3 linked regions of the Alligator mississippiensis genome follow. Each later gene encodes a partner of the first gene's protein in a complex. Links are inferred from orthologs where the notes say so. Each region holds a gene or a part of one and is shown on either strand. Other genes may lie near its edges.

Evidence for each region.
Region 2: the proteins of NRIP1 (region 1) and RORA are in contact, whole or in part, in a crystal structure (PDB 4S15), measured with the Homo sapiens proteins. The link is inferred for Alligator mississippiensis from reciprocal best matches to the Homo sapiens genes NRIP1 and RORA. Residues at the interface, in NP_001426204.1 of Homo sapiens: Thr499, Leu500, Leu501, Gln502, Leu504, Leu505, His507; in NP_599023.1 of Homo sapiens: Gln332, Val335, Lys339, Phe344, Met345, Gln349, Gln352, Ile353, Leu356, Pro505, Leu506, Glu509, Leu510.
Region 3: the proteins of NRIP1 (region 1) and ESRRG are in contact, whole or in part, in a crystal structure (PDB 2GPP), measured with the Homo sapiens proteins. The link is inferred for Alligator mississippiensis from reciprocal best matches to the Homo sapiens genes NRIP1 and ESRRG. Residues at the interface, in NP_001426204.1 of Homo sapiens: Ser378, Leu379, Leu380, Leu381, Leu383, Leu384, Lys385, Ser386, Gln387; in NP_001429.2 of Homo sapiens: Val277, Ile280, Lys284, Phe289, Leu294, Gln297, Met298, Leu301, Gln302, Lys448, Leu449, Glu452, Met453.

Annotation. Positions count from the first base shown.
Region 1 is NC_081824.1:278,939,775-278,947,917, forward strand, and holds the start of NRIP1 (nuclear receptor-interacting protein 1), read right to left. Parts: upstream 3,355-8,143; 5' UTR 2,977-3,354; intron 1-2,976. UniProt on the Homo sapiens protein: Modulates transcriptional activation by steroid receptors such as NR3C1, NR3C2 and ESR1. Also modulates transcriptional repression by nuclear hormone receptors.
Region 2 is NC_081834.1:33,281,100-33,288,845, reverse strand, and holds the start of RORA (nuclear receptor ROR-alpha), read right to left. Parts: upstream 3,355-7,746; 5' UTR 3,269-3,354; coding exon 3,091-3,268; intron 1-3,090. UniProt on the Homo sapiens protein: Nuclear receptor that binds DNA as a monomer to ROR response elements (RORE) containing a single core motif half-site 5'-AGGTCA-3' preceded by a short A-T-rich sequence.
Region 3 is NC_081824.1:186,319,314-186,327,086, reverse strand, and holds the start of ESRRG (estrogen-related receptor gamma), read right to left. Parts: upstream 3,355-7,773; 5' UTR 3,225-3,354; coding exon 3,118-3,224; intron 1-3,117. UniProt on the Homo sapiens protein: Orphan receptor that acts as a transcription activator in the absence of bound ligand. Binds specifically to an estrogen response element and activates reporter genes controlled by estrogen response elements.

The DNA of each region.
Region 1 (8,143 bases):
TATAGAAAACTAAACAAACATTCATAATCCCTGAATCTCAGCTGGTTTCACCCTATGAGACATTTGAGTTTGATAGCTCCAGAGTGCAGTTTAAGGTTTTACCTTACTGGCCCTACAATGAGGTATTAAGCCCCTTTGCCAGACAAGGCAGCTGTCTGGAATGCAATTCTATGGGCTTGCCTTGGGCAAGTTTAGACAGGTATTCAAAGCATAATACAAAGAGGAGTTCATAATTTGATACAGGCACATCCCACTCAGTCACAGATAGGATTAATAGCACTCCAATTTTCACTGTTCTATTGGTATTATTTAATGTAAATGCATAAAAAGGAGGGGGGGGGTTAAATTAGCTATATTACCTACTTACAAATAAGGAAGAAGAATTCCCCCTGGAAGGGCAGTGTGATAAGCCATAACCAAGCAGGCCTGTGTCTTTTTTAACAAAGCTCAGATGAAGCAAAAACTACAAGCAAGTAAGATCAGCACTGCAGTTCACTCAGGTTTGAACTCTGTGACAACCTTTAGTGAACCATTGCTTTTTTATCATTTTTTTCCTCTTGGTGTCTTGTACAGAATGACAGATTCAAGAGAAAAAACAGCTGACAAATACCGCAGGTGGTATATTTAACATTCAAATCAGCCACTGAAGTTTACCATATGAAAACATTTCTGCTTCTTCAAACAGTATGGTTTTTATTATCATAATAACCCCAAACCTCTTATTCTTCAACTTCTGCCTTTATTTTTTTTTTTTTTTTTTTTAAGGAGCACCTGGCAACTAGAAAAAGAAACTTCATTTTCATCTGAAAATCTATTTACCTACTACAGGTACAAGTCATCCTTAGCATTAGGAGTACAATTATCCAGTTTGGTTACACTGGACATTTGACAGCCCTTGATATTCAACACATTCGTGATCTAAAGAGACCAAGTGAGGTGATCTCACCTCCAACAGATAACAATCCAGGAGAACTGGCCAGTCCAAAAGAAGGACAGGTGCCCATTCACCTTCTAATGCACAATCACTAATCCCTTGTACAACCTTTGCACATACATATGTAATACTAAATGCATCATCCACTGGTTCTACTGCTTCAAAGTCAGTATTTGTTCCCGCTCATAAGGGAATGGGGACAGGTTAAAAGAGTAAGATTCCTCCACCAGAAGTTTAAGAGCAAAGAAATTGCGCCAGCAGCAGAAAACCCATATCTGTACTAAATTTTAGGTGCGCTATATGAGAGCTCACCATGACAGGTCAATTCCTGTTCCCCTTGCAGAAACCCTTCCTCAGATGCCATAAAACCATATGATGATTCTCACATGCCACAGAAGCAGGCCATTCTCACATCAGAAAACTTTTGTTTGTCCTCTGGGGGAAGGTGTGCGTGTGCACATGGCACTCCAGTGCCAAGTCCCATAAACAGCAATTCAGAATTGAACAATGAAGACACAGGCTTGGTACCACCCACTAGGAAGCGAGCGCAGATGGCCTCATTTCAGAAGGGAGGCTATTTTTTCCTCACAAGAAATTTAGTAGATTAGATTGCTCTTTTTATAAACAAACTCCATCCCTTATCTGAAAACGTCCCCTGTCATGACTCGGTTCAATTCCAAGTGGCCTGGGAGGTCCCAACCCAACGCCCAGCAGACATATGCTCTCAAAACATTACTACAATCTACCAATTCAGGCACAACTCCTGAAGGGGTGGGGGCAGAAAAAAGATACTGTTCAATCAACTCACTCTTCCACCCACCAACAGCATGGGCCAACCGTACCCCCCCCCCCCCCTTGCACCGAGTCACTCCTAAAGCCACCAACTCCATAGCTCTGAGAGACTGTCAACATGTGTCCAGCCCTCCCAGCCTTTCATGGTTACTTTAAACTAAAAAGAAAGACTCAAAAGTAACCCCCGCCAACAAAAAAAGCAAAGTGTCTGTCCTCACAAAAGCCTTTTTTTTAAAAAAATCCTACCAACTTGCCCTCAACCCCAAAAGTACATGGCTGTAGCTTGTGCTGTTCAAACTCCTACCAGGAGCAAAGAAAAATAAGCCCTCAAAGGTTGGGGGGGGGGGGGGAGGGGGAGATGAGTCACCCTTGAAGGGTTTTGGGGACAGCAGCAATGGTCTCAAGTTCCAGCAAGGGAAGTTTAGGTTAGATAGGAGGAAAAACTCTCTCACTAGGAGGGCAGTAAAGCATGGGAACAGGTTACCCAGAAAGACTGTGGCATCTCCATCCTCAGAGGCTTTTAAGTCCCAGCTAGACAAAGCCTTGGCTGGGCTGATCAGCTTGGGGATGGTCCTGCTTGGAGCAGGGGGTTGCACTAGATGCCCCCCTCACCCCACCCTGCTCCGCTGTGATTCTCTGGTACCAAAATGCCTCTCAAACAACTCACCAAGACACCCTCATGGACCCAGAGGGACTGATTTTCCATCTCCAGCTCCCTCTGTGCCAAAATGAAGTTTATTTCCTACCTACAGGGACTCTGAACCATCTTTAATTTACCCTGAGCCTGCAGAAGGGCACCCAAGCCCAAAAGCTTACAAAAAGATATACATATTTTGGCAATCTCCTAGTTAGCCTAATAAGAGGTATGGTCTCCGAACTGGGAGTTGTAGATTTCTGCATGTCTTGAAGTCCCAACCTTCTGCTTCAGAGGGAAGGAAGCCGCCCCCCTCCCCGGGGGGGCTGCACATTGGGGAACTTAAAGTGATGAGAAGGCACGTTTGGGAAGAGAAAGGAGAAGGGGAAGGGGGGAGGAGGGAACGCGTCTCCCAGCCCCACAGCAGGGGAGAGGGGATGAAGCGGGGAGCCCAGCTCAGCAGCGGGGGGAGCCGGAGGGGCTGCAGGCAGGCGGGCGGGCGGGCGGGATCTCTGTGCCTCCGGGAAGGACCCTGCCCCAGCCGGGAGGGCAAACTTGGCAGCCCTCTCGCCCCGCCCGCCCTCCCTCCCCGCGTGGCCCCGGCGTAGGCACTCACCGCCCGGGCTCGGCTGCTGCAGCGGCGGCTCCTGCGGCCGCGGGAGGCCCCGGCCCGGCCCCGCGCAGACAGACAGACGGACTGACTGACGATCGCCCGCTCCGCCCCGCCCCGCCCCGCGCCGCCCGCGCACCTCCCCCGCGATTAGTTCTAGTGCAGCGAGCGGCGCCCCAAGCCTCCGCAGGCCGGGCCGGAGCAGGAACAGGAGCTGCGGGCGAGGGGAGGGAGGAAGGGCTAGGTCCGCGCTCCAAGGGGCGCAGCCTGCCCCCGGCCTCGCGAGCCTGGGCGCGTCCCCCGCGCCGCCGCCTCCGCGCCCCGGCTGCCGAGCTGTGCTGCAATGCCCACGAGCAGCCCGCCTGCCTGCTCCTGCTGCTGCTGCCTCCGCCGCTGCACCCGCAGCCCTGGCCCCGCCTCCGGCCCCGCCCCTCGCCTCCTGCCCCGCCCCGCCCCGCCCCGCCCCCAGCGCCGCCCGGGACCACGGGGGCGGATAGGTGCCCCGGGCAGCGCCGGGGAGGCAGGCGGGGGCAGGCGCCTTTGGCTCTCTCGACTACGAGTGGGCGGCAGGGCCGGCCCCCCCCCGGCAGAGGGTGCCTTCAAAATCGTGACATGAGAGAGATGATTTCATAGGGCAGATAGATAGCTAGGAGGAAGGAAAGACGGACAGGCAACGGAAAGAAAAGAGAGAGAGAAAGAAACAGGAAAAGAGAGAGAGAAGGAAAGAAAGAGAAAAAGAGGAAGACAAAAAAAGAAAGAAGAAAAGAGACAGAAAGAAAAGTAGGTAGAAGGAAGAAAAAGAAACGAAGCAAAGTAAAGTAGATAAGTAATTAGACAGGGAGAGTTGTATATATCAGGTTCTTTATCTTTGTCCTTTGATTTTTTTATTTTTTGGTGGGGGGGAGGGGTTGCTTGTTTGTTGTTTTCATTTTAAGGCTCATATTGGTATGAAGCACAAAAGCCAGAAACTTATTTTTAAAGCGAGAAAGCCAAACGCCTCATAAACCCATACAATAGGAGCTGGTGGGGTGAAGAAAAGCAAAAATATTGCAGGGCTCGCTACATTTTCATAAGTCAGTGAAGGAGGCAGGGAAGCAGTCATCCTTTCCCCAATTCCTGCTGATTTCCACCATGGTACAAAACTTGTGTTAATATCCTTGGATTTGCAGCTTCCAGTTCTAACTTCACCAAGCTTAGTCTGAGCAAAGCCTTCAGTTTAATTCTTATGGATAATGCAAAGACTTAACATTTATTCCTGTCTACTCAAGTTCCCAAACTTACATGCTGCTTTATGCTTCCTCACCAATGTGCACACACTTCTTCACTGTGGCTTCCCCCATTTGCGCACAGAGAAGTGCCTTCCCAATTAGACCTAGTGTCTTACCAAAGCTATGTTATTTACACCTATATCAATTAATATTAAATAATGATTATGAGAGGGAAATATCATTGTAACAGAGGGAGGCCCCAAACAGGATCACAGCCCTACTTTACTAATAGCTATCTCCACCTATATGAAGAAAACCTAATAATTGTCCTGAGGAACTGCGATCTAATACCCGATTTCTCTTAAAACAAGAACTTTAATGCCGTTCTATCAAAAAAAAAAAAAAGTTGGAAGGCTGTAGATATGCTGCCGCATTTTTTTGCATATACACAAAATTGTGCGAGCTTGGTCACATCTCATTCATAGATGCAATGCCTGCATTAAAACATCCCACAAACATAACAAATGAGTTGATAAATACAGAGCTTTATGTATGCAGCAACTGAATTCTAAGCAACAGTTAGTAATGCTTACTTTATCCTTTCTTAAATATTAACTGAGAAATGTGTGTATATATATTCGCAACTGCATACAAACAAGTGGCCATCAAGAAAGCATTAAAAAATTCTAGAAATAAAGCATACTAAAACATTTAAAAGTTCAAAACAGCTGTGAGTATGTTATAGTACAGTCTTAAATGAAAAGACACAGGCAATAATGTAATTACACAAATAATACATGAATTTCAGTTAAAAACTGCTGAAAGCCAAGCTTTGCAATCAACAGACCTTATGAATGAAAGTTGATGTTCCAATATCAAGCAAAATCTCTTCTACTCTGGAATAGAGAGACTGCACTGGCTACCAGCAGAGAGCTAGCAAGCAATGACTTGACCTATTTTCTAAGCCAATGAAAGATTTAGGTGAACTTCATCATCATCATGTGTTTTTTTTTAACCACATTTTTTTCAGATGTACATCAGCATTTGCACATCCAAATGCGTGTATAAACCAGTCTCTTATTTTATAGCAAAAACTGATTTTATGGCCTCACCATGTTTCCATTCAAATGCATAAGAGTTTTGCTGCTGAATTCAATGGGAGTAGGGGTATGTAACTGGCAATATGTGATTTGAAAGAAATTCTCTTTAATTTTTAATTTCACTGAACTTCTTTATCTGAAAAATGCTTCAATGCGAAGCAGCTGAATTATCCAGGGAAAGGGAATTTTCTCATTACTGCAGCAATTTAGCAGCTATTTCAATCAAGTATGTCTGTAGTATACACCTCTTTCATTCTTAACCTGAGGGAATATCTTGCCCAGACAAGAGACCTACAAAATAAGGAATCTTGGACAAGTCATGGAATGATTGTGCATATGAACAATTATTTCATATGTTTAAAAGCAAGACATGAATAGCTTGGAAACATAGCTTGGAAAATGTATTTTTGGTACAATCAGCAGAAATAGTTACAAATAATGACACTTATGGACTGATCCATTTATTTTCCATATTCAATATATATTTATATAGGGCTGTGTTCTGTTTGCTTACGTAGACTTTCCATCAGACAGTTGAAATGGCACTATTTACCAAGTTAGATACAAATTCACACAAGTAGGGTGGAAGAATTAGTATTTACTGTAAGAATCTAGCCCACACTTCAACTTTTTTTTTTTAAATCAGTCCACCTGATTGTATCATACTGTTGGCAGTTATTTTTTGGTTTTTCATGTAGAAGGTTTTCAACCAAAGTTAAATGTGTGATCAATGCCCCGGCACAGATAAAGGACATTTCTATCCATCACATATGGATAATGTAAAATCATTGTTTTCTTACCAGCAACCAGGGTAGTTTTTCAATATTTGCTTCAGGGACTTTTCATTGTGTTAATTCACTTCTGAGTTCAAAACTGCTTTTGACAGCTTCAAATCAGACTACTTTTGGATTGCTCTTTAAAAAAATATAAATTCATAGAAGTTACTTTTGAATTGATTCCCAGAATTGTAAGCACTTACTGGAAAGTTATTGTACTGAGCTTAATATTTCTGAAGTATAAACTCATATTTGATCAAATTGGAGTCATTTTAACATACACATTACAAAAGTAAAAAACAAAACATGCCTTCTTATTACTAATGCAGACAAAAATCAAAATGCATCATCTTTTTAAGTGTCTGAAGCACATATTTGATCTTTCTATTTGACTATATTTGAAATGAGTTGAAGATACTGTTGATTTTTGCATAACTATCTGTTTAATCACCTTGATGATTAATGAAATTTCATACATGGTAAACAAATCTACAATACAGTTCAAGATACAAAAAGAAAGTCCATATCTGAAATCAAATGCAAAAAGGGATAGTATTTTTTTTCTACATGAGCTATGCAAAGGGCCCCCCTGACTACTTTGAGGGTCTCACTTTTATTTTTTTTTGTAGGGTCTCTATTATGAAACTATGAACAGCTTTCAAACTACCTTTTCAATCAGAATAAGTAGGGCCATATGGAAACCTGTCAGAATACAGTATACTTGGGACATGTTTGGAAAGATCAGTGATTTCACAGAAATATGTATATATACACTAAATCTTATTCCAATTTTTTTTTTGTCAGGATTACATGAACAAATCCAAAATTACATCCTTGACTCAGCACAATTGTACCCACTGTGTGGAAGGTCCCTTTACAGAGAAGCAAATAACCTAGTATTGTAGCCCTTACTCGAACAAAAATCACAGTGACATTTCTTATTTATTGAGGCATTGATTTAACTGAAGTTTTGCCTACATAGATGATAGTCACGCGTGGCTCCTCTACAACTCTAATAAAGAAAGTTTGAAGTGTCTGGCTTCTAATTAGTAAGAAGAAATATTTAGACTTAACTGAAATAAATAGGGACCATTCTGCTATAACTGGAAGAATAAGTCTGATACAAAATGAAAATGTCACTGTCTACATGTTAGAAAACATGAGAAAATTATTTGTGTATTTATAGGGTTTTCATGTCTAAGTTATATTTTCACTTCTTTTTACAAGCATGAACAAGGTGATTCCACAAGTACCCTCAGCACCACAAGTTCTTTCCTATGTATTCTGTCTCTCATTTCACATTCTTGTATGTTTTTTAAATTGCAATTCTTTTCAGCTTGATGACCTGCTCTAAAAATATTTTTCACTATAAATTTTTTAGAGCAATCTCCTTTATTAAAAAGTAGACTTCAGATACGACTATTTGATCTAAGAGTAATAAGCAGCTGTTTCAGTTACAAAAACTTGTGAAGCCAGTTGTACCTTATACACTCTAATGGAGACATTATATGTTTGCAGCATCTGGCTGGTTTTAACCATACCTCCAGTATACTGTACCTGTTCTCAGGCATACATTAGGGCTTACTGTATTTGCGTCTGTGTGTGTGCATGCACATGCATGTACATGAGTATATATCGATCATGAATAAGAACTGTCATTATGGCCTTATGTTTTATGGCAGGAACTAAGAAATAACAGCACACTGAACTTCTGCAATATCCTTCATGCAAGAAGCAAACAGCTTTATAAACATATATCTGATGCTTCTTCATTAACTAACATTAAAATACAGTAACATATTTTTCAGTACCTTTAGCTATAAGGACATAACCACTATCTGAAAACTACTCAAATGTAAAAATTCTCAGAACTCTCTCAGAAAAAGTCCTGAAAATTGTTCTTTCAAGAATATGACCATGAACTGATGAGTCATTAGCATTAATAGTATGAAGTCAGACCCAAAAAGTTAAACAGTCCAGTGTCACTGGTTTCAAAGATGACATCAGAAAGCCCCAATCTGGTATGTATAAGAGTCTACATGAAAATGCTCTTGTTACTCAATGGATCAATGGTATTGAAGAACTGAGA
Region 2 (7,746 bases), on another chromosome or scaffold:
AATATTTAGTTAACTAGTGACAACCATTCCTCAGGACGATTCTAGAAAATGGCAGAAACGTGCGCCTAGCATGCCTGCAGATTTCTGTTTATAAAAATATAATGAATATCACAAAAAACATTAAGTACAATGTCCTCCAGCAATACAAATGCTGTCCTTAAAATTTGAAACTTTCCTAAACTGGTAGTTTAGGGAAATTCACTGGGGGATATGAATGAGAGCATGCATTAAAACATATTTCAGACCCACCTCATCATTAGGAAAGACGTCTGGGCTTATTTTTTTCCCTACTTATTCACCTTGAAGGAATCAGAGTAACAGCCAGAACAGAGACTATTTTGTTCACTGGTCTCATCTAACTGTAGAACAAAGAAAACAAACATACTGGCTCCTCTCCCCCACCCCCCAACTCAATTTGTAATGTTTTTAATACCAATTAAACTCTACCACTTCTGCTTTGCCATGGAAGCATCCGTCATAGTTACCCCAAGAATATTAAGTGACTGCAAATGGAAGGAAATGCAATTCTCAATAAGGGTTAGGAAGCAGGGTAAAACCCTTTCTTTAGTAATACATGAAGTGCATTGTAAAAACATCCGAGAACCTCAACCAAGAAACATATATGGATCAGCATTTAACCTACTGGAAAATGACTACTCTTGGGTAAATGAATAACTAGTGTAGGTGGTAACATCTTTATTTGGGAAAACTGCCTGTCTTTTTCAGCTGACTGTTGGCCACTTTTTCAGTCTCCTGTGTCATCACTTTTCCACTAGAGGCTTCAGTACCAGGCCATAGGTAGTTTACATAACAATAATTCTTTTTAAAAGTTTTTTTTAATAATTGAAAAATATATTATATATTCCCATCCATTAGCACAGTTTTGAAAAAACAAATGAAGAAATAAAGCTATTCAGGGCACATCAGATACATTTATGGTATCTAAAAACAAAATATTTCAAATTGTGAATGTTATAGTATTTAAAACTGCAATTAAGAACATAGTCTTTCCTTTGTAAGTCTCATTCCTTCAAACTTTTATTTTCTCCATTACTTCAGTTTATACAACCAGTTTAGCTCTGGGGCATCAAGCACTTTTGCAGGAGTAGCAGCTATTAAAATAAATGTATACAAAACAGGTATGTCTGTTGTCTTAATAACTTCATTGATTTAAAAATCTACAAATACCTTCATGAATAACAATCCTACATCCTCATTTGCAAGAGTGTCTTGGACTGGCTGGCACAAGTTAAAGAGTCAGGACCTAAGATCAGCTTATGGCCTGAACAAACACACCAACACATGATCCTAAATGTCTCCGTTATAAAGATTCTTCTTTTCCCTTGCACTTATACCTATACTATTTGTGCACCGTCAGGTCAGCCCAATATCAAAGGAAATCCCACATTCTACTTATTCTCTGCATATTTAAAAAAAGGGCCTGAAGTGAACTTCAAAGAAGAAAAACGACAAGGGAGTCATTTTCACCCAAATCTCCATCCGAGTCCTGCTTTCAACCAGACTAAACAGGTTAATGACAAGCCTATGCTGTTTTCCTACAGTTCCCGACCTTCATGTTTTAAAGGTTAGAAAGGCATGATCACCTAGTGCCTTGGTCAATTTGTTTCCAATACTGTCATTTATGCAATATTACTACTGAGTGCCAGCTCCAATTTGCTCAGTGTTTGCGCTCCAGGAGCAGACTTGTATTTTCTGCCAGGCTCATTACATCATCTGAAAACCCAAAACATCTCCTTTTTTTCCCCCCCAATCCTCCCCCCTTCTCAGTGCACAGCTGATTGCCCTGGAAAAGAACAAACTCGGGCTGATGTTAAAAGACTGGAAAGAGACAATTTCCAGGAGCTTCTGCTGCTTGCCAAGGCTGCCTCCATCACTGACCTTCGGGGTTTGGTTTGGTTTTGTTTTCCCCTCATTCCCACTGTTACATAACCCGGTGCTTGCGTGCAGTGTGTGCGCCTTGAACTCCCCTCCTATTGAATCCCAGGGGGAGGAGGGACATGTGGGTCAGCAGGTTACCAGTATCAAAGCCGAAGCCAGTCGGGTCGCCCTCCAAATTGGAAATGCAAATCACCCCCAACACACACACACCTTCCTATGTATCAATTGCCGCCGCCACCCCTGCCCTCCCCTGACCGGGGGGATGTAAAAGCTAGGGAAGATGCCAGCCCAGGCCGCCCCCCGGTGCGGTGCGGTGCCGTGCCGTGCCGTGCAGTGCCGGCGCCCATCCCAGCCCAGCCCGCGGCAGAGCGGGGCTGGACCAGGGCTCGAGGTTGTGTAACACCCCGCGTCCCGCGCCGGGCGGGAAAGCCCTCGGCATGTGAAAGCAATTTTCTCCAGTGTTTCTCATTAACCTCGTTACATAAGCGGCTGGCACGGCCCCGCCACCGTCTCCCCGCGGCCCCGGCTCGGCACCGGCTGTCGCGGGAGGCCGCGGCGGGCTCTACTGTACTGCGCGCCCGGAGTGGGAAGCCGCCTGGAAGGGGGGTGTGGCCAAAACGGGGAAAATACTGTAAAACACAGGGCGGCACATCATCAGCCATATTCCGCCGACAGCCCCAGCCAGGCGGCGGGAGGGGGCCGCTCCCCGCCGGCGCCCCCCGGCGCGATTGCAGCCGCTCGCCCGCGTATTTCCTCCGCGGCAGCAGCGCCGTGGCGGCCGTGCACACGCCGCGCGCAGCTCCAGGTGTGCACAAGCGGCAGCGCCGCGCACCGGGCGCGTGCAGCCCCGCCTCCAGCCCGCCGGTCCCCGCCTCGCCCGCGCGACACTCGGCCGGCCCCGCGCCGCCAGGGCTCGCCTCGCCGGCGGGCGTGCGGGCGGGCGGGCGGGCGGGCGGGCGCGGGGGGAGCCGCCCCGGCCCCGGCAGCCCGCGCCCGGGGCACAGGCGCTCGCCCGCCCCGGCTCCGAGGGCAGCCCGGCGGCTCGCAAAGTTAGTTTCCCTGGTCCCCGGCTCCCGCCGGCGCGGCCCCGGCGCCCCTCACCTCCTGCTCGCAGCAGCTGGAAAAGTTTGCGCGGTGCCGGGGGCCCGTCCGTGCGCGGCCGCCCCCCGCCCTCCGCCCCGGCTGCCTTACCTCTGCCGCCGCCGCCGCCGCCGCTGGAGTAGCTCTGCCTGCGCGCGGGGGCCGGCGCCTCGCCTTTCCGCGACGGCTCCAGGCTGGCCGCGGGGTCCCTGGCGCCGGGGGCCGCCTCGGAGACGCTGCTGCCCGGCTCGCTGGCGGCTGGGTCGGGGGCTGCCGGAGCGGACTCCATGTTTTTCCCAATGTAGATCGCTTGGAGATGGCGAGCTCCTACACTCCCTCTATCTTCTGTTTCCAGCGCGACTCTATGGTAGGAGGCAGAAGGGAGAGAGCGAGTCTGATCCAGATGGGATGCGAGCGTGTCTGGCTGTGACCACAAGCAGCGCTAGCGAGAGCTCCTCGCCCCCCCCGCTCCCTCCGCAGCTGCCCGGGGCAGGGGGAGCGGCTCCCGGCACCGACCCGCCGCCCGGGCTGCCCCGACACGGGCACGGAGGGGCTGCCGGGGACGGACTCCCGGCTCGGGGGTGGGCAAGCCAGAGCCGCGGGGGAAGCCGGCTGTGCTACTGCCCCTCGGACCTCTGCTCGGGCAGGTGACGGCAGCAGGACGTGAGGGAGGGACCCGGCCACGGCCTTTCCACGGCAGCGAGAAGGGCTCTGGCAGCCTCCCCTTGGCAAGCGCAGGGTGTGCGGAGGAGGCTAGGGAAGAGGGGGCAAAGCAAGGGGATGGGGGAAGGGTCCTCCGCCACCCCTGCCTCGCACTAGCAGAGGGAAGTCTTTGTGGGGCCCCTTCCTTGGGGTCACCTGATCCTGACCCCTGGCTAAAAAGAAGCACCACAGGGGCGAACACAGCTTTCCTGTGCAGCGGTACTGTGCAAGCAGCAGGGGTGCCTGACCCACTGGGTGTCACCGCTCAGCTGCCCTGTGAGCCCTGAGCCGGCAAAATCTGACACCAGGTTGGAGGATGGTCTGCAAGGCCCTCTCCAATGATGTCGCCTTTGGCCTAGGGGAAGGTGCGCTGTGCTGGGAGCCAGAAGACCTTGGGCTCTCTGATTGAAATATTCCTGACTGATTTTACAGATCTAGGTCTCCTAGCCCTATCCCAGAAAGCAGGTAACTGAAAGCCAGTAGTGGACCCAGGAAAAGGACATGGGAGGTGCAGCCCTCTACTTTGGCTGTGCCATGCATGTGCAGTAAGCTCTAAGCTCAGTGCTTAGTCTGGCCAGAGCCTCTGATTTTGCCAGGCTTCAGAGCCCAAGGGCTGAATGCTGCTACTGTTTGCCCTTTCTCTCCTTCCCCCTCTCCTCCCCATCCCTGCTGAATGCAGCAGAAGGGGAAAGGAGGGGATGGGTGGCAGTGCTGCACCCCTGGACGCTGTGAAAGCAGAGGCTCCAGGCAGATGCCACGCAGAGCTCATGTGCAACATAACCAGGGATGCAATTGTGTCACTGCACCTGTTCTCTATCTGCCACTGCAGGAAGCAGATATCGCTCATTCTATTTTATTACAAGGTAACAGAAGTTTCACAAGATCACATTAGAAAGAGCTGGAATCAGAACATACACCTCTAATTTAATAGCTGGAAAGTCTTACAAACTGAATGCACCAAACCTGCGTGCCTAGCTACCAACCTGTAAGCATTGTTTAATGACTAGATCACACTCTGCATCTGGGGTAGGAAGAAAATCTAGTCATCCCAACAGCCAGCATTTCACTGCCATGTAACACATAGTTGTGAAACACACCAACTGTTACATTTGTCTCTAAGGGCTGGTCCATAAATTGTATAATATCCTGCTGTGCCATTATTTGTACCTTTCTCTCAAGTGCAAAAAAGTATTCTGGGTACCAACTGTCTATGTAGGAAAAAATGATCAAATAATTACTATCCCAATGCATAAATACAGTGTGGCTGTGTGAATCATAGATGATAGAATGTATTAGTAGGAGATTGAAAGCAGCATTAAAAGATTTTTCCTTTATAATCAGACACTGTAACTTCCAGAAGGTCAGAATTTGATTTAGTAGTTATGGCTTTGAATAGAAAATAGTATTCAGGCTAAACGTTCAGGTACTTGGGGAACAGATGTCCCAAGTTACTGCTACAAAAGGCCCCAAAGCTCTTCACCCCTACCATCAGTTTGAAGTCCTCTCAGTGTAGGCTGAGACATTAAGTGACTCCTCTGATGTGAGATTGGTGGATTTGAGTTGCAGTTCTTTGCCTCACAAACACTTTCCTTTGCTTTTCAATAACTGGCAAACTCAGAAGAGAGGCCAAGAACTATATAAGCCTTAGAAACTGAACTCCTGGTTACCCTTAGAGAATTCTTCCCCTCCTCCCAGATCTGGATTGAGGCAGGCTGACCAGGCAGCATGTGTTGGGAAGCTTGCCCGGTTAATAAAAAGAGGACTTCATTCCCCAAGGCTGTCAAACCAATGCCTTTCACAAGCATTAGGAACAATGGAACTACTTGCAGGAGAAAGGCTCGCTCATGTGAATATGCGCAGGACCTGATGCTTCTGGAATTCCAGATGCTTTGAATGATCCGAGGTTTACCTTTGTTGTTGTTTTTCTCTCTGCACTTCCAAAGGTCTACAGAGATTTCATGTCCTAACCTTAATTGTGCATAATAATTTGTTGGGGACCGGAGAGGAGGGGTGGGTGTTCCTGCTTGCAAAACTGAACAGATTTTTAAAACTATTTCCCCCATTTTGCTAGGAAAAAAGGAGAGAGAGAGACAACAAAGGCTCTGACAGGGCAATGGACAAGAGTTTGTTTTTAAAAATGAGAGTGTATTCAAAAGATAAAAATAATATAAGAAAAAAAAGAGAAAGTACATGTGTTTGTAGCAGGGATTTGAATCCATGCAGAAGAGAGAATTAAAACTAAGTCTCCCAACAACCTCTCCTCTCCATAACTCAGGAGCAGTAAGGAATAGCTAAGGTAGAGCTAGAGCCTCAAGTAATACATCTCAAAGGGCAACATCGATTTACTGGAGTGTTTCAACAGCACCCACGCAACAAGCAGACAAAACAGCTCTACCTTATGTCAAAATAGAGAGAAAAACCTCTGGAGAACCTGAATTCATTGCTTGAGAAACAACACTGTTGTTTTAAATAATGGAGATGAACCCCTACGGCTGGTATGTCTATAGTGAAGTAGTACCTTGCAGCTGACTGTCCTAGTTCCACAGGATAAGTGCTGAACCCTTACAAGCCCCTAGCTGCTTACTCATATCCGGAAATCTCGAAGAGCGTGGATACTGTTGTTTGTTTGTTTATTTATGCACTGTATATGCTACCCTTCCCAACAGACACAGCAGCTTACAGGAAGTTTATGGTTTACCCCTCTAGAAACAAACTTTGTAAAAGATTCCAAAATCAGTTATTCTTTACTTTAGACAACACAAGAAATACACAGATCTAGACAAAACAAGAAACACCTACAAGGCTATTCTTGCTTTGGTTTCCTAACCACTTTGGTCCTGCCACGATTCCAACTCCTTTCTCTTTGTGGCTTCTCTGGAACTATGAGTTACTCCCTTCCATTTAGATTCCCTTAATCTTAGCTGGTTCACATGGTCCCTTCTCCCTCCTTCTCTGCTAAACCTGGTGTCTTTGTTCCTCTCTCCTTCCTAACCTTCCTTGTAAATCCCCCTGAGTTGTTTAGTAGTAGCACCAATACCAAGTTGGTTTGTTTGGCTTCTGGGGAAATTCTGCCCCTTCAAACCTTAGCTGTCTGCAGAGAGGTTGAAGAAAATTGGTTTCATCTAGGATGTCCTTACTTTCAGAGATTTATTCATAAACAAATAGTCTTTAACAATCTATCTAATCACTGGCTGACATGCAAACAGTATTCCCATATCCCTTAGCACAAGAACAGTAGTAACCCAGTGAAATAATCATGCGAAGACATGCTATAGACAGTGTGAACTGTAATTCCTAAGTTTTATGTTTCCTGAATCAGTCATCATAACACAGCAAATACTGGATTGGACCACAAGGAAATATGTCAGGATCACGGAAATAGATTCTTGCTGAACTCTGCTCCCTTACTGGGCAGCTATCAAGAATTACTTGGGGGGGGGGGGGGCATCTACACGTACATTAATGCGCCGTTGCTACTGCACATTAAGTTTAATACTGCTAATATATGGTACTACATTAATGTGCAGTAGCCAGGGCTAACGCGCTGTACTAAGAGTGCATGATCTTTTTGTTACACTTAATGCACATTAGCAAGCTTTTTCCCATTACATGCTAATGTGCAGTAGAATTAGTCTACTGTGCATTAAGCATCTCATGTATACACCCATGGATCTTTAAAACAAGCAGGCAGCTGGGCCCACTTGACTACCTCACATACAAGGCCAGTGGGGAGCCCTTCAGCCTCATAATCATAGCATGTATCCCCAAAATCCTTTTATGAAACTGTCTTTGTGTTCCCACATCTTTTCTGACCAAAACAGTGACTACTCAAGTAGAAGTTAGTTGCAACTTCAGTCAGCCACCAAGGAAAGCTTAAGTATCCCCTAGGTGTTTTGAAACAGAGGATGGTTAGGGACAGAAATTACTCATAAAGCAGTATAAATACTCCATTGTGGATAGATGGAGTATCAGACTTAACTGATTTAAATCAGTTTAAATCAGTTTATAGAACTTCTGTCCCAGATCCTCTCCAGATTCAAGTTAAGTCACAATCCCACAGCATCT
Region 3 (7,773 bases), about 93 Mb from region 1:
GGGCTGTGTGCCAGGGGGTGAGTATGTGGGGGGTCCCCACACCCCCCAACCTCCCTCATACTCACACCCTGCCCACCCAAGCTCTGCATTCCCAATGCCCCCCTGAGCGTAGACTCCGTGCTCCCGCCAGCCCATGGTCCACACTCCTGCCCAGGTGTACCTCTCCCTGCCCCCGCTGCAGCTCCCCCTGCCACTTCCCTACCTGCTGCCTGGAGTAAGCACTGCAGCAGGGACACAGGAGGAGCTGCTGGAGGCCAGGAAAGCCGAGCAGGTCCCCCAGTGGCTGCAGCAGTGGCAGCAGCCCTGCCCAGAAGCTGTGTGCTGGCTAGGCTGGGGCCCTTCTGCACACGAGGGTGGGAGTGAGGCTAGCTGGGGTATAATTAGTTGGTGGGTGCCCATGGGCTGGATGACATTGTCTGTTGCTCCCTGGTTTAGGAGCACTCAATTGTTAAACGCTTATAAAAAAATTGCTGCGCTAATGTGAACTGAGGTTTTTTTGGAAGACTTATAGTTTGGCCATATATGGGCAAATTTTCACAAAAAGTTCACTCCTAACATAGGGCAACCCCTCTGTCAAATTTAAAGTCAGTGTTCAGGATGGAGATACCAAGGTTCTCCACAAAAACCTTGTATGAATTTAACATGGGCAAAAACCTATTTTTTTCCCCCCCCCCAACATCACTGGTGAAAATGACTGGACCATTTTATCTATAATTACCTGGCCAAGAAAAATCCAACTGGAGTAGTTAAAATCTGATAGGATTATTAGCAACTGAACCTGGGGTCTTCCAGGCTTAGCAAGTGGTGGTGCAACCAGCTTCAACTACAATACATAATCTTGAAATAAAAACTAAAAACAAAAAATGACAGTTTTGGCTTAATGCGTGTTTCCTTTGATCTGATTTTATACAACATAAATCATAAATCTTCAAAAATTATGTTTTTATGATCCTACTAGACAAAGAGATAACTTACTGTGTTGTTTTCCTGTGATGAGGAATAATTCAAGTTCTTACCCTGCCTGATTAATCTCACAACTAATATTTAGAAAAGGTTTCACTTAGAGCTGATCAAACTTGGCAAAAGTAATCTTCAAACTATGCCACATTCACTGATTTGTAAGATTTTTCAAACTTCTGTTTTATTAAGTGCAGTTTAAATTAGCAATAGCACTAAATCCACTGGCTTATGACTCCCTCTGAAGCTTACAAACAGCCCATGGATCACATAAAAGAAAGCACATGCAAATCAAGATTATGACACACTGATCTCATCCAGATTGCCATTTCAGCAGTAAAAGCTTAATTCAGTGAAGTCCTTATGCTCACATTATTTTGCATTCCAGAGGTTAGTTGCTCATGGTTTGGAATGGATGAAGACAGCTCTCTGTTTTGCATTTCAGCCCAGGTCTAACAACTAATCCTTGCACTATTTGTTCAGAGAAGCTACAGTTTGATGAACAGCTCATGGAGCTCTTCACTAGGATCCCGCAGTGGGAGAATCAGGCCCTGCTGGGACAAAGTGGCTCTGAATATCATTACCTACTTTGCAAAGGGCAATAGCAAAGAGCAAAGACCTCCACAAACTGCTGCCCCTTAGAGATTCTATTTTTGCTAACCAAACTTTGAAGGATTCAGCTTGCCTTCACTTCACTGCCTTTAGTTCAGTAAATATCTTCCTGCAATAGAACAGGCAAATCCCACAAATAGCCCCCAACATGTATGTGTGAGAGGGTGTAAATGAGAGATTTGCTTATTAACATTTCCCTATCCTTCTGCAAAATCTCAATGGAGTTAAGGAGCTTCATGATCATAAAAGGGACAATGCTATCGTGGACCTAACTCAAAAGAGCAATAATGGTGTGGCCCAGTTGTTATGATGTGTAGAATTGACTGGTGTTACGGGAAATATGCAAATAACATAAAAGTCTGCCTTAATACTGGTTAATTCTTTCTCTGTTAAGGGACAGGCATTTCAAGGGAGTTTTGCAAGTATGATGGTCCAAAATGTCTTAGTTGTGACTATATGACCTCTTAGCACTGAATCAGGGGAAACAGAAAAAAAATACCACTATGCTCAAAGAGTTCTGAAACCCACTAACTAGATTCAGCTAGTATTTATTAATATATAATTTCCTTTTATTTTTGCAGACAAGCATGGCTACTAACAATGAAATATATTCCTGAATATATTCACTCCAGCCAAAGGGAGAAAAGAAAAGTCTGGGCACAAATAAATACTAATGCTAGTAATGGAAATATTCCAAAAGAAAAAATCAATCTTACAGATTATTCTCGATATCTTTAATCACCTTTGTCACCTGGGTAAATAATATTCTAAGCTACTGATTTGAATGCCTGCTTCGTATCTTCATGGTTTATTGCAAGGTGAAAATTGTGTCTGAAGGTAAGTATTGTCCCGATGCAAGCATATAAAATTACTTTCTTTTAATGAAGATTCAAATATGCTGGAGACCAGCAAGGTAGCTCCTTTCCAGACACTGCCAAGGGATTTCTGAGCGTTTGGTAAAACACTCTATCTGGGTACAGTAGACTATCAGTGAGTTATTCTATTTGTTTATATAAATGGGCCAATGCCTTTTGAAATACTTCAAAGCACTTAACTAAAGCAAACAAGCACTTGAACTTTAGATATCTAACAAGAGGAGCTATTGACAAGTATGACTTTCCTTAGTAAATCTTAATATCTTTGGGAACTATAATTCATATTGTCTCACAGCTCTGCATGAAGGAACACATCAGACTCTTATCTGAACTTGGGCTCCACAAGACTCACAATAAATGTGAAAAACAGAAGTGCTACTGCCTGCCCCCATTATTATTTTTATTCCCCTTTTACTTTCCCAAAAATGACAACCCTGGAGCCCAATAACATCATCTACAACACAAGTCATGGATACGCATTACATCTGTGGTGCTATATATGGCCCTATTACACACAGGAACTTCTATGAATCACTACAGGTAATGTGTGGACAGTTAGACGTAGCATTATAGGAGGTCTCCTGGTTCCCAGTATCCCATAATGCTGAACTTCCCCTCCTCTCCCTACCCACCAGAAAGAGAAGGAGAGTGGCCGTCATAGGGCCAATGCTACCTTGGTGAAGCAGCAGCGTAGCGTTGCTGGGGGGATTCTGCTGCCACCACTAGCAGTGGCACAGCTGGTGCCCACATGATGCATGCTGTAGTGCCAAAAATGAACATGTGTCCTTGGGCAGACCTTGCTGCTTCTTCTGACACCTGATTTCTTTAATTGTAGACGTTTATATGTTTTTTACCCTTTTCTAGAATGCATGTGTTCTTGGATGGCCATCCTAGGTACAACTTCATAGATATTTGATGCATCCCTATCTGTAAAAATGAATTTAGAAGGAATTAGAACATTGTAAGTCACTACTTTTGTTTACTAAAATATGACAGCACAGTTTGTATTTAACCTAAGTTGTTCTCCCCATGTCTACATTTGAAAGTTTTGAGCCAGCCAAATTATATTCTCACTTAACAACGTGTGCATCAGAGATGAATATTCAGAATTACTCCTGAACTTCAGCAGTATCAATGAGAACAGAAATTGGCCCTTTAAATAAAATGTCATCGGTTTTGTGAACCTACTAGACAATTCCTGGTCACCTCTCACTCCTGGTAACTGTGGTCTAGGTGGTTACACTTTTACCAAATATTTTTCCAAAAGGTGGCTAAACGGCCAGCTTATTGAGCTTCAGAAGTTCAAAGTTCAGTCAGTAGTCAAGTTTCTGAGCAGTACTTTAACGTGTTTAGCTATTTGTAAGTGTTTACATTTTCTTTGCAAACAAAAACCAAGCAAACAAAAACTCAGGCATTAGCTAAAATCACAATGAGCTTTCTGGCTTAGAATAGTAAGATCTGATCCACATATCCATTTTTGCTTTATGTATACTTCAAATATGTCAAACATCATACCGCTTCTTAGCTGGACACGGTCAAATCAGGTTTACTATTACAAATCATCTCTATTCCAGTATGAAACAGTAGAGATTTTGTGGCATGGTGGTTATGGCTAATTTTTATCTGGGGAATACCAGGAATGTAGACCACATGGCTAAGTACAGACAATCAAAAGGCCTGAGGCGGAATTGATTCAATGTTTGCAAGTTAGTCTAAGCTGCGGAGATTGAACCAAGAAGCAAGTGAACAGACATTCTGGAAATGCAGTCACATGCCTGCAGTGACTTAGGCTAGAAGCTGGGGGCTGCTAGCAGCCTTCCCTACCCTTTAGCAGTGGCCAGAAGGCTAGGGGGAAGCTGGGAGAAAAGCCCTCCAGGCTTTTCCTGCTCCCTGCATGAGCAGAGTGGGGGTGTGGGCAGGGGTGCGCCTGACTATGGTTATAGAGAGGGGTTTAAACCTGCAGGGACCCCAGCCAGGATGCCCCTGGGGTGGAGGGAAAAAGCAGCACCTGCCAGGCTTTTTCCCTACTCCCCACTGAAGCAGAGGAGGGGGTGTGGCTGGACCCTGGCCCAGGCCAGCATGCTGAGAGGGAAGAGGGGGGTGGGTTTAAATTCCCTTGCCTGCACGGGACCCCAGCAGGGGTCTGCCTGGCAGGGGCACAGCAGCCACTTCCAGGCTTTTCCCCACGCCCGGCTCGAGTGGAGGGGGTGGAGGCATGGCCAGATGCTGTCCCTGAGCCGCATGCTGAAGCAGAGGGGAGGGACAGGGGTTCAAAGCCCTCTCCCTCCTTCAGCCTGGGTCTGCCTGGCAGGGGCGCAGCAGCCCCCATCTGGCTTTTCCCTGCGCCTCGCTTGAGTGGAAGGGGCACAGGTGTGGCCAGATGCCAGCCCTGGGCTGGCACCCTGAAGCAGAGGGAAGGGAGAGGGGATTTAAACCCCGTTCCCTCCCTCAACCCAGGAGGCCCAGGCTGAGAGAAGGAGAGGGGTTTAAACACCCTCTTCCTCCTCCCTGCTTCAGGATGTAGCCTGCGGCCAGCATTTGGCCATGCCCCCACCTCCTCCGCTCAAGCGCAGAACTGCCTGGCAGGGCCTGGAGCTCCCTCTCCCCCTCTGCCTCATTCTGCCTGCTTGGCCGCAGGGTCAGGCCACCTGCCCTTTCACCACTCCAGTGGCGAGTGGGAGAAAAGTCTGGCAGGGGCTGCTCCAGCCCTTGCAGGGAGACCCGGCTGCCTTCTGAAGCCAGATTTTTCCACCCCCACCCCCTTCTCAGCTAGCCAGAGCAGTAATAGTGCTCTGGCTAGGGAGCAGACAGAACAGCTCAGCCCAGGGCTGCAAAGCATCCTGGGATGCTGGGGGACTGTGACTTAACTTGAACCAGGAAGGGGTCTGGGACAGAAGTTCCATAAACTGGTTTGACCTAAATCAGTTAAGTCTGATACTGCATTAAACCAGGTTCATCTTAAACCAGCTTCAGCCATTTTGAAAGTGGTTTATGTGCACTGACTTTCTGTTCTGTTACAGGTTTAAACCGGTTTCTGATCACTTAAACTGGTTAATGTGTAACTTCTGTCCCTTGCCCATGAGTACAAGTATGTGACAGCTAAAAAGCAGATGTTTGAGACACACCTTTCAATTCAACAGCAGGTATACTTCATTCTACATAATACTAGAACCCCTTCTCAAAGCACAGATAAGAAATTTCATTCTGGATTTGTTCACCATATGCAGTGTTAAAAATGCTTAAGGAAGCTCAGTGAAAAATCCTTTGCATGCCCCTAATTGTTGCAATTTCAAAAGGAGGCAAATTATATTTTGCAGGTGATTTAGGTGTCCTGAGATTTCACAGCGCTGGTTAAAGGAAGCTGTTATTCTTTAAATAGCATAAAGTGGGGTTAGTGGTAGCATGGGTGTATTTTACGTGGGTTTTCAGACTTCAGTTAACTAACTGACTAGAGAACGGTTGAAACTGCTTGAATCAGTAATGTAACATGAGGTGAGCGAAAGTGGCACATGCCCCAGACACCACCTAAAGGGAGGGGCACCAGAAGGATGGGGCAGGGGAGGGGTGTTCTCAACTGTAGCAAAAGCCTAACCACAGTAGGTCTCTAAACTGTCACAAAAGTAAAACCGGTCCTGAGTAGAATAAATTTCTGTTTCAACCCACAAAAGATCATTTTTGTAAAAAGATAAACACATGTTGATCTAAGAATACAATTTCACCCTTTAAAATGACGAAGTATGGTTTTTTTGTTAGATTTATCAAGAACTTCAGTGTTACAGGGCAATACCTGATGTCTGGTCAAGTGTCTTGCTGTTTTTCAAGCACTGTTCTGTTAAAAAAATAAAGCTGTATTTGAGTGCAAGAACTCCTCAGTGATAAAATGCAGGTCTAGGCACAGTTCCTCAAGGAAATAGCTTTCAAAAATCTCTGAAATACTCTGTAAGTTATAATTGGGTTTTAATGCATAAAACGGCTGAGTAATTTAAATGTTTGGAAAAGAAAACAGTCTTTCCTAGAGTTTATGAAGTGGCAAGCCTATTTCTTATAACGATTAGCTATGAATCATCACTTCAAACATGAGCATCTACTAGCATATGCTCCATACAACTGATGCTGTATAAGTCCAAAGATTTAACAAATTAACATTTAAGGGTTGATTCTGATCTTAATCTAAATCTTTTATACTAACAGTATTCCACTGATTTCAGTGGAATTATCCCTGGCGCACACTAGAAAATAGTAAATGAGATCAGAATTAGGCCTTTTCACTGGCTGAGAGCTCCTACCACATATTTTGCCCTATGGAAAGAAAACAGAAATATATATAGATATATTGAGAAAGTGGGTATATCACGACATTGTCATGGGAGACAGACAGCAACAACAACAACAGAAAGGTAACATAACACTCATTATTAAAAATGTCATAAGGAATAAATACATATTAAAGGGAGAATGAAATGAGCTAGGACCGCATAAAGTGTATGTATGGTTAACAATATCCCAAATGGCATGCTATTCTAAAGCACAGATAAAACAAGAGTAAAACAAAAGATAATATAATAGAGTTTGGAATACATTGCAAACAAGCAACAAGATCTAATTATTTGGAAAGCTCTCCAAGATCCTGTGGCTTTGGGTGAACTTAATTAAAGAGAAGGGAGAAATTAAAATGGAAAGGAAAAATCAGACTAGATAGATTGAGAGAGAAAAAGAGACAGACAACAGGACACAGGAAGAAATATTGTATCATTTTCTACACCAGAGTAATTCAAAGGTTCTATGAGCATTTTTCAATATTACAAAAATGCAAGATATAGTTTTAACATCTTGAATCCAGAGCCTCCCCCTCTTTCCAAATGTGGCACCTTAATTTAAAATATATATACAGTATACTGCTTGTAATTTATAACTATATCCATTATCATGAGTAATCTAAAAAAAAATGATGTTTTTAATTTCATCTGGAAGATCTTAAGAGCTGTAGTTATTCTGATTTCCTAAGAAAAGCTCTATTTCCCACAGTACCTGATTTCTGTAGATAAAAGTACTTGCTCTAGAAAACGTATACTGATCTCAGAGCAGAAGAGGTAGCCCTGAATTAATCCAGGTCCAATTAAAAGAGGGTTTAGAAGATTAGGGCCAGAACCTTTCGTTCCATCCAGTATTCCATGACAAACTGATAAAGAAACTAAGAGAGAAACTTTGTAAGTTGTGTATGGGTCCTACATCTATGTATGGCAACACCTATTTCCGCTACCTTGCTAACAAGGTCCTGATCCCGCAACTAGACCTGGCCAGATAGATCCCCCACAGGCCCCACAGAGTC